Rattus norvegicus: one gene and its partner. The protein of the gene in region 1 interacts with the protein of each later gene in a pairwise test. Links are inferred from orthologs where the notes say so. Each region holds a gene or a part of one and is shown in the gene's direction. Other genes may lie near its edges.

Region 1 (4,008 bases):
TTACCACCCCCCCCTGCTCACAACACACACCCCAAACACCCGGGAGGCGAGGGAGAAAGGAGGCTGCGTCCCGACTCCCTCTGTCACAGGGGCTAGGGGTGCCACATTCTGCACTCTGGGAAAGCCGACCCCAACCGCAGGGACTTCGCGCCTCCCTACTGTTTGGGAGTATTCTAGCTGCGGGTTCCTAGTCTCCCTCATCACCCCGGGAAATCCTAGCAGCCCACTGCCAGCTCTCTGCCTCCGTGGGCCAGCAGGGGTAGAAGGGAGAGAAATCCTGTTGGCTTCCCCTTCTAACTTGACACGCAACACACCCCGCGGCCACTCCAAACTCTGCCAGCAGAGCCCGGAGTGGCTGTCCCGACGTTCCGGGATCGGGTTCGAGAAGCGCCGAGTGCGCAGTGAGGAGCGAAACCCTAGCGCGCGCCCCTCAGCCGGAGGCCGGTGTGGCCAAGCCTGGGACCCGCTGTGCAATGCCAAGACCTGGCATTTGCAGCCTGGCGCGGAGCGAGCTGCGTGGGGGCAAGGACCGGAGCGTGGTAAAAGTTCGCCCGCGAGCACTCACCCACGCCGTATTTCTCGTGCTCCGTAGGTATCCACATGGCTATAAAGGGCGCTGAGGGGCTCCGGGCTATGCAATCCCCGCGCCCCTCCAGTGGCTCACAACAATGCACGGCTCCCGAAGAGCAGCTGCGGCGCTGGAGCACAGCAGATCGCGCGGGCTGCGGCGCTGGGCAGGGGCTTCTCCCGGGGCTCCCGAGCGGACACTGACACTACACGGACGAGACGGAGCCGCCCGCTGCTCTGCCGGCCGCGGCTGCTCACAGCCCTGCGACGCGCTCTCGGGGACCCGGCGGCGCAGTCATTGTTCTGATTCACTGAACTAAGCGAACACGCCGGGGCACTCGCGGGCGCACCCCCGCCCGTCAGCGCCCATCCAGCGCTGCCTCCCCACTGCCTCGCGGCATGCCGGGAGTTGTAGTTCTTACTCTCCCGGGCCCGGAAGGGGGCGTGGCTACAGCGGTTGGGGGCGGGGCAACTAGTTAGGCTCATCACATTCGATTGGTCCAAAATGTGACGGCACAGCCCAGGCGTGTAGAAACTCTCTCAGTGGGTCGGCATGCGACCCCAGGCGCGTTTTTATTGGTTATCTCCCCGCTTCGCCCCGCCTGCGGCCCGCCCCTTTCAACTGGTTCAGGTAATGGCTGCTCCAGAGGCCCAGGGGCTTGGTGTGGACCCCCGGGAAGACCGGGTCCGCGGGGTCCGCGGCGGAATCGGGCACATCGATCATGAAGGTGAGTGCGCTGTCCCTTGGGTGCGTGTGATCTGTCTTTCTTTTTCTGTGCCCGGGGTGCAGCTGGCAGCCGCTCAGACCTTAGAAGCTGGTCAGCTAGGAGACCACCTTGGCAATGCCAGGCAAAAAGCCGCGGGCGGAACCCACAGAGATTGGGTGGGGCAGAGGGCGGTTGCCAAGCTGAAGCTGTTTTGGGTGGGACGAGAAAATGTGAAGAACTGCCTTCCCGGCCTCTGAGAAAGCTCCTTTTGCTTTGTTCCGGTTTGGAATTATGTGCTTTGCACTTGCCCACGAGTGGGTGTGGGTCAGGTCTGGGTCGCACGTGTGTGATTGTAATGCTGTGATTAGGCGCTATTTCCTGACTAGTATCCTCAGTTTGCTGAATTTGTTTTTGGGAAGGTGTTTTATGTAGTTTGGGGCGGGTTTCCAAGTTGGAGACTAGTCACGTCACTGTTCTCCAGTACTTGCGGGTTGCTCTTTGGAGTCCTCTCCAAAGGGAAAGGATGTGTGTATCTCAGGAATCATTTGACCCTGGAGCCTGGGAAATCTTACGTCCTAAGTCGTAAGAGAAAGAGGAAAAAGAGAATTAAATGCACTCCCGCCTTCACAGAATATTTAAAAGAGGGTTTTGAAACTCATCACAACTACTTTGTATCTACCTGATTTTGGTGTTTTCTTCAATTCCACTATAGAGATCAAAAATCAAACTTTCGTAGACTACCTTTCTTTTAGTCGAGCTCCACTCCCCACCCATTTTAAGTATATAATTTAGCACAGCAAGTTCTCTTATGTAAATGGATAGGATTTGGGGGTTAATTTGTGTCTCAGTCCTTGTTGATGTTTTTTCCTTTCACAGCTTTTAGTATGAAGTTTTTATCTCAGTAGCAGAGAAATGAAGTGCAATTTCTTCCCACTTCCCCTAGGTGAAATTCCTATCATCTAAGCAACCTATCAGTGGGTTTGCCATATATCCCATACTTCTATAACAGACTGTTAAGCTTTTCCAGATTACCAAAATTCCACAGAGCTACCATTTTAAGATATAAAGTTGGAAGCTTCGATAATTTTTCTCATGGGTTAATTTATTTGAGAACTTATAAATACCTCCAAAGCATAATGAATTACCTTACAATTACAATTCATTATATTTCAAGCAGTTCATTCAGAGGTATTCAGATTTAAAAAAATATTAAGTCTCTCCACTACACAGTTCCACTTATAAAGACAAAAGTGATGCAAATTTTGACATATTTCTTTATAATATACATTGTATAACTCATTTTTAAATGACGGATAATTAAAGGGATAATTTTTGTAAACTCAAAGATCTACAACTTTCTTCTCCCTCTTGTGTATCAAAGATATTTCTTTATCAACATTTTTTGTAACATTTAGTGACTACACTCAGGTTCCATAGAACAGATATTCCATACTCTAGCCAGTCCCCTCTTAATAAATGTATAAAGTCACTCTGATTTTCAATAGCATTACAGAGAGTGGATTTGTTTATATGTGTGTGTGTGTGTGTGTGTGATACATATGTATATAGATGGATAGATTGATCCAGTAAAGTATTACTTTGTCCAGTATTAAGCTTGTGTAATTTTTATGTAGATACCAGTTTTCTGTCTTAAAAGTACTCATCATGAATATTCCCCAATAATAACCAAGTATCCTTTACCCAATATTTTCAAAAAGTGTGAGGAAATTATTAATCCAGGACCAGTGTTGAAATATAGAAAGACCGAATTAGGTGACTAATGAAAACTTAATTTTAGTCTCCAAATTATCTTCAACAAAAGCATTGAGCAGCAGAGAATTTTCAATGGTTGTCACAAAAAGCATCTCTTTCCTTACTTCAGAACTGCCCAGTATTATCATTGACTTAGGACAGTGGCTGGGAGAGTGTCATGATTAGTCTTATGTCATTTTTAGTAGGTAAGTACATAAATTTATCATTTAAAATTCTCCTTTAATAATGGATCATTCTTTGACTTTATCAGAATTCTTTTCAAACCCTGCAAAATGGGACATACATTTTAGGTGGGAATAATTGCATTAGGAGTATATTTCTTCTTAGGCAGGCATTTAAGTGATCCAGAATGTCTTTCTCTATAAAATCACACACCTCTTTACTATCCGGGAAACTGCTGCTTTTCAGAGGTTTCTTTTAATTCTAATTAAAATGTCATTCTATGTGTTTAATATCCTGAGACAAAAGGGCCCGAGGAGCCATTTAATAGAAATCCTAGCAGTTCTGTAAAATCTCTGCAGGAAGGAGCATTAGATGGAGTTCGGGCACATACAGCTCCCTCTCTGAGACCACTATGCTCCCCGAGGTTTTTTTAGTCCGTTCCTCCCCATGTCCCTACCTTGGTTGGTTCACAGCAAAATTGTCTATTGAGAAAAGTCATAAAGTCTGTTTGTTGGCAATACAGATAAAGAAAGAAATGGTACCAAGTGTGCAGCTATCTTCCTTGCACACTCTCCAGTGTACAAGAACTCTTGGTGTTAGGAGAGGGGCTTAGGACTGAACTAAGGGCGATGGATGTCTGCTGAGACTCATGTGGAGAGGAGGTCAAATGACCCGGTCAGGCCAAGACTTATCCGTGTCTGCTGCTCATTTAAACAGAAATTAGTGTCCCGTATTGTTTCCTAAAATTAAAAACAAAAAATAGGGTTTGGGTAGATGGCTAAGTGAAAGCACTTGCTAT
Region 2 (4,128 bases), on another chromosome or scaffold:
AGATTTTCATATGAAAATTAAGTTACAGATACAGAGCAGAAAAGGAGAGAAGCAGAGGACAGACACAATGTCATTTGAGTATGACAATATACCTGTCAAGTGATTTCAGGCATACCAACATCTACCAAACCTTCTTCTCCATTATCCATGATTCTAAACAAGAGGAAGATTGCTAGAAGAAGCCATTCTTCTCACAAAAGTTACATTGGCAGATCAGAATCAATATGCTCCCTTGAACAAGTCATAGCTGCTCAACACTCTTGTTCAATGCACCGCGGCAGTTACCTATAAATCATAAGTATTCTTGGGAGGGAATAGGGAGGCAAAGTTTAGAACAGAGACTGAAGGAACACCCATTCAGAGCCTGCCCCACATGTGGCCCATACATATACAGCCACCCAATTAGACAAGATGGATGAAGCAAAGAAGTGCAGACCGACAGGAGCCAGATGTAGATCGCTCCTGAGAGACACAGCCAGAATACAGCAAATACAGAGGCGAATGCCAGCAGCAAACCACTGAACTGAGAATAGGACCCCCGTTGAAGGAATCAGAGAAAGAACCGGAAGAGCTTGAAGGGGCTCGAGACCCCATATATACAACAATGCCAAGCAACCAGAGCTTCCAGGGACTAAGCCACTACCTAAAGACTATACATGGACTGACCCTGGACTCTGACCTCATAGGTAGCATTGAATATCCTAGTAAGAGCACCAGTGGAAGGGGAAGCCCTGGGTCCTGCTAAGACTGAACCCCCAGTGAATGTGATTGTTGCAGGGAGGGTGGTAATGGGGGGAGGATGGGGAAGGGAACACCCATAGAGAAGGGGAGGGGGAGGGGTTAGGGGGATGTTGGCTGGGAAACCGGGAAAGGGAATAACAATTGAAATGTAAATAAGAAATACCCAAGTTAATAAAGACAAAAAGAATCCTAGGTTTTGTTGAATGACATTTCTAAATTGTATAATAGCTTATTTCTGAAGTTTATTTACTATATTCAACTTCATCCGTTCAGATTTCAGTCCATTCTCTATGATGTATTTATAATGGTACTCTTTATAAATAGTTCTCTTTTAATACCAGATTAAAGACTCCAGCAATTTGAGGATTAATGGGCAGTCCTCCAAATAACCTCTGACTGAACTAAATGGCATTGATTCCTTGGCAGATGGTTTTGACTAGAGAGTTGAAAACCGAGAAGTTCAGACTGCAAAAGGCCAGAAGAAAGGAAGGGGCATTACTACTTTATATTGCAAGCTGACTAAATGGTTCTCTCCCTTCAAATCTCCTGGCAGGTGTGGGAAGAGAAATGCTTAGTTTAATCACATTAGGGAAGATTATGAAGAAGCTTTAAAATCCTAAGCCTGGCGTGTGGAATGAGCAGTGTTCGGAGAGTTTGTTCTTGAGGAGTTGGTTATCACAGGCAATTTGAAAGAAAACCCAAAAGCAGCTTCCCTGGTAAGTACAGAGCAGAGGGATGGGCTTCGTGTGTGTGTGTGTGTGTTTGGTACAGCAGTTCATGTGTGTATGCTTATAGTCTATCTTTATCACAGACAAAAGATGCCGGTGATCAACATCGAGGACCTGACAGAAAAGGACAAGTTGAAGATGGAGGTGGACCAGCTCAAGAAGGAAGTGACCCTGGAAAGAGTGATGGTGAGTGAGTGACCTCTCCAATTCACCGGAAAAGACAGCGTGGCAAATACCCACACCTCCCAATTCCGTTAGCGTATGCTGGAACAGATCAATGTATCTAAAAGTAAATTCTTAGTGGAAAACAGAATCAGTGCTGAAGAAAGGTAATAATTAAATTTATTTCAAGAGTTAGATTCTAAACCCGAGGGTTAGAAAGCTAGTTTTCCCAGTCCAAGTGTGGCTCTTGGCCTGCTTTGGTACGACTACTGAGCTGAGGAATGTCTTACACCTTTACAGAAAGACCAAGAAGATAATAGGGGAAAAATTGAAACAGAGATAGGGTTTTACCTAAGCACTCAAATGAAACAAGGCATTGAGATATTTTGGTTTTGTTCCCATAAGTTGATTATTCTTCATTTTGTACAATATTTGACGTCGTCCATGTATTTAAAAGTACAGCCTCAATCTCCCCAGCCTTGCTCTGGTCAGTCACAAATAATTACATTCTAGTCTTCCTGTGCAAATAAAGATGATTTCAGCCCCAAAACCTCACTGGTTTCTCCTAAAAACATCTGTTAGCTCTTGAGAATAGTGACCTGGGGTCTCTGCATTAAATGGAATAGAAAGGAAAAGGGAATGGACATCTTTCCCGCAACAGTGACTGAATCTCAAGAAGTGTAGATTTGTGTTAGGTACTCTCTCTTCATTTTAGGAATATGTCTATCTATGCATCCTTATGAGGAAAGAGTGAAAAGAGTCTATCTGCTTGCCATGCATTGCTCAGACCTTACTACTAAGCAAACACATTTAAGATTTTAGTTTTATTTTATAACTTCCCCCAACTCTCGTGATACTCCTTCCACAGAGACAAAAACCAGATTTGGAATAAAGATAAACTCAAATAGGCAATCAGCACAATAGAACACACAGGCCAAAATCCTTATCACATCAACGAGCTCCTGGGTGTCCTTTGGTCAGCAATGTGAATATTTTCAGGTTTATTCATTACCTTGGAGTTTTTATTTGGGGGAAAACATGACATACACCACCTCTCCAACTATTCAGAAGAGTCTCGATTTTGCAAGTTTAAATAACAATGTTAGTTTGTAAACCTCACTGTCTTCTCTGTGCTGTGTTGTCTTCCCACTACTGCTTTTTTTTTATTCCTTTTCTTCTGCCACCACCTCCAATACAGATTTTTTTTTTGCTGTATATTCACACACATCTGTTGCTCTAGTCTATTCATGCTGCTATAAGAGGTTAGAACAGACCGCATGCCTTTGCAGAAGTGGTGAATCATTTTGATGTTATTCTCTACGTTCTGGAACTGTGCTTATCCAAGTCCAGGGCCTGTGCTTTCATTCCCAGGTAGTGTCTCCTCAGTGTGTCCCTACAGGGTAAAAGGGATGAGGAGCAGCTGCTCTGGTGACCCTTCCTCCTCGGCGCTAATGCTGATAATGAGCTGACCCTCAGGGTGCGAGCAACTGTCAAAGGCTTCATCTCCTAGTGTCACTAGACTGGGACTATTTCCAAATATAGAATCTAGAGTGCACACATATATTTACGCACGTATACAAATGAACATTTATGTGTATGTGGTACACAATTTTACTGAAAAAGGCCACTGTTTACATGACTTACAAATTGGTCACTGCACTGTCAACAATTCAGATCTATGTTACTGTCATAAAAAAAGCATTGATTGAGTATAAAATGAATTGAGGGTAAAAGCCATGGATAACTTGGACTCTTTTGAATACATACATGTGCGTATTACCTATAGAGATACAGCACTGAAGCCTGCCTGTTTTCTAAATCACAATTATGAAACTATTAGTGAATGAGGAGCAATTTTATAAACCAAATGAGTGCCCATTCCAGCACACATTCCCTCGTTAAGCATCAATTGAGCACAGGCTCTGTTGCCCGCGTTATACTAAACAAAATAGCCAAAGTCAGTGACCGCTTGGATCACGTGCCACGCAGTTATGAGCAGTTGCTGTGGTTGAATTTAAAACTGTGTGTTTGCACTTCTGAGAACCTGACTCTGAGAATGTGCCAGGAATTTAGCAACTCTTCACTCTCATCCATCTTTACACTAAATGTTTAGGAAGAGAAGGGAGACTTACTTTGGAGAATTCCCCGACTTGTGTTTCTTTGACAAAGCCAGAGGAAGAGCCCACTAGAAATGGTTAGCTCAAGGTCAGCTTTCTCTCCTCCAGAAACATCTAGAAGGGAGGTGTGGGAATGATTATTTTTTCCTACCCTGAAAAATACACGTGCACTGGCAGGAGCAGAGGGAATCATCTTTAAAAAGTTGCAACCTAGAAATGTATTGTAGTAAATACATTTCTATCATCTGCAGACCTCTGTTGTAAAACAAATGAGTTACCTCTGTCTCCTTTCTTTTAAGGTTTCCAAATGTTGTGAAGAAGTAAGAGATTATATTGAAGAAAGATCTAGAGAAGACCCTCTAGTGAAGGGGATTCCAGAG

Evidence for each region.
Region 2: the proteins of Zfp277 (region 1) and Gngt1 interact in a two-hybrid assay, tested with the Homo sapiens proteins (3 studies listed by BioGRID and IntAct). The two-hybrid records come from large-scale screens. The link is inferred for Rattus norvegicus from reciprocal best matches to the Homo sapiens genes ZNF277 and GNGT1.

Annotation. Positions count from the first base shown.
Region 1 is NC_086024.1:63,237,000-63,241,007, reverse strand, and holds the start of Zfp277 (zinc finger protein 277), read left to right. Parts: upstream 1-1,201; coding exon 1,202-1,295; intron 1,296-4,008. UniProt on the Homo sapiens protein: Probable transcription factor. Involved in modulation of cellular senescence; represses transcription of the tumor suppressor gene INK4A/ARF, perhaps acting via the Polycomb group (PcG) complex PRC1.
Region 2 is NC_086022.1:32,959,621-32,963,748, forward strand, and holds the start of Gngt1 (guanine nucleotide-binding protein G(T) subunit gamma-T1), read left to right. Parts: upstream 1-1,324; 5' UTR 1,325-1,457; intron 1,458-1,552; 5' UTR 1,553-1,559; coding exon 1,560-1,655; intron 1,656-4,047; coding exon 4,048-4,128. UniProt on the Homo sapiens protein: Guanine nucleotide-binding proteins (G proteins) are involved as a modulator or transducer in various transmembrane signaling systems.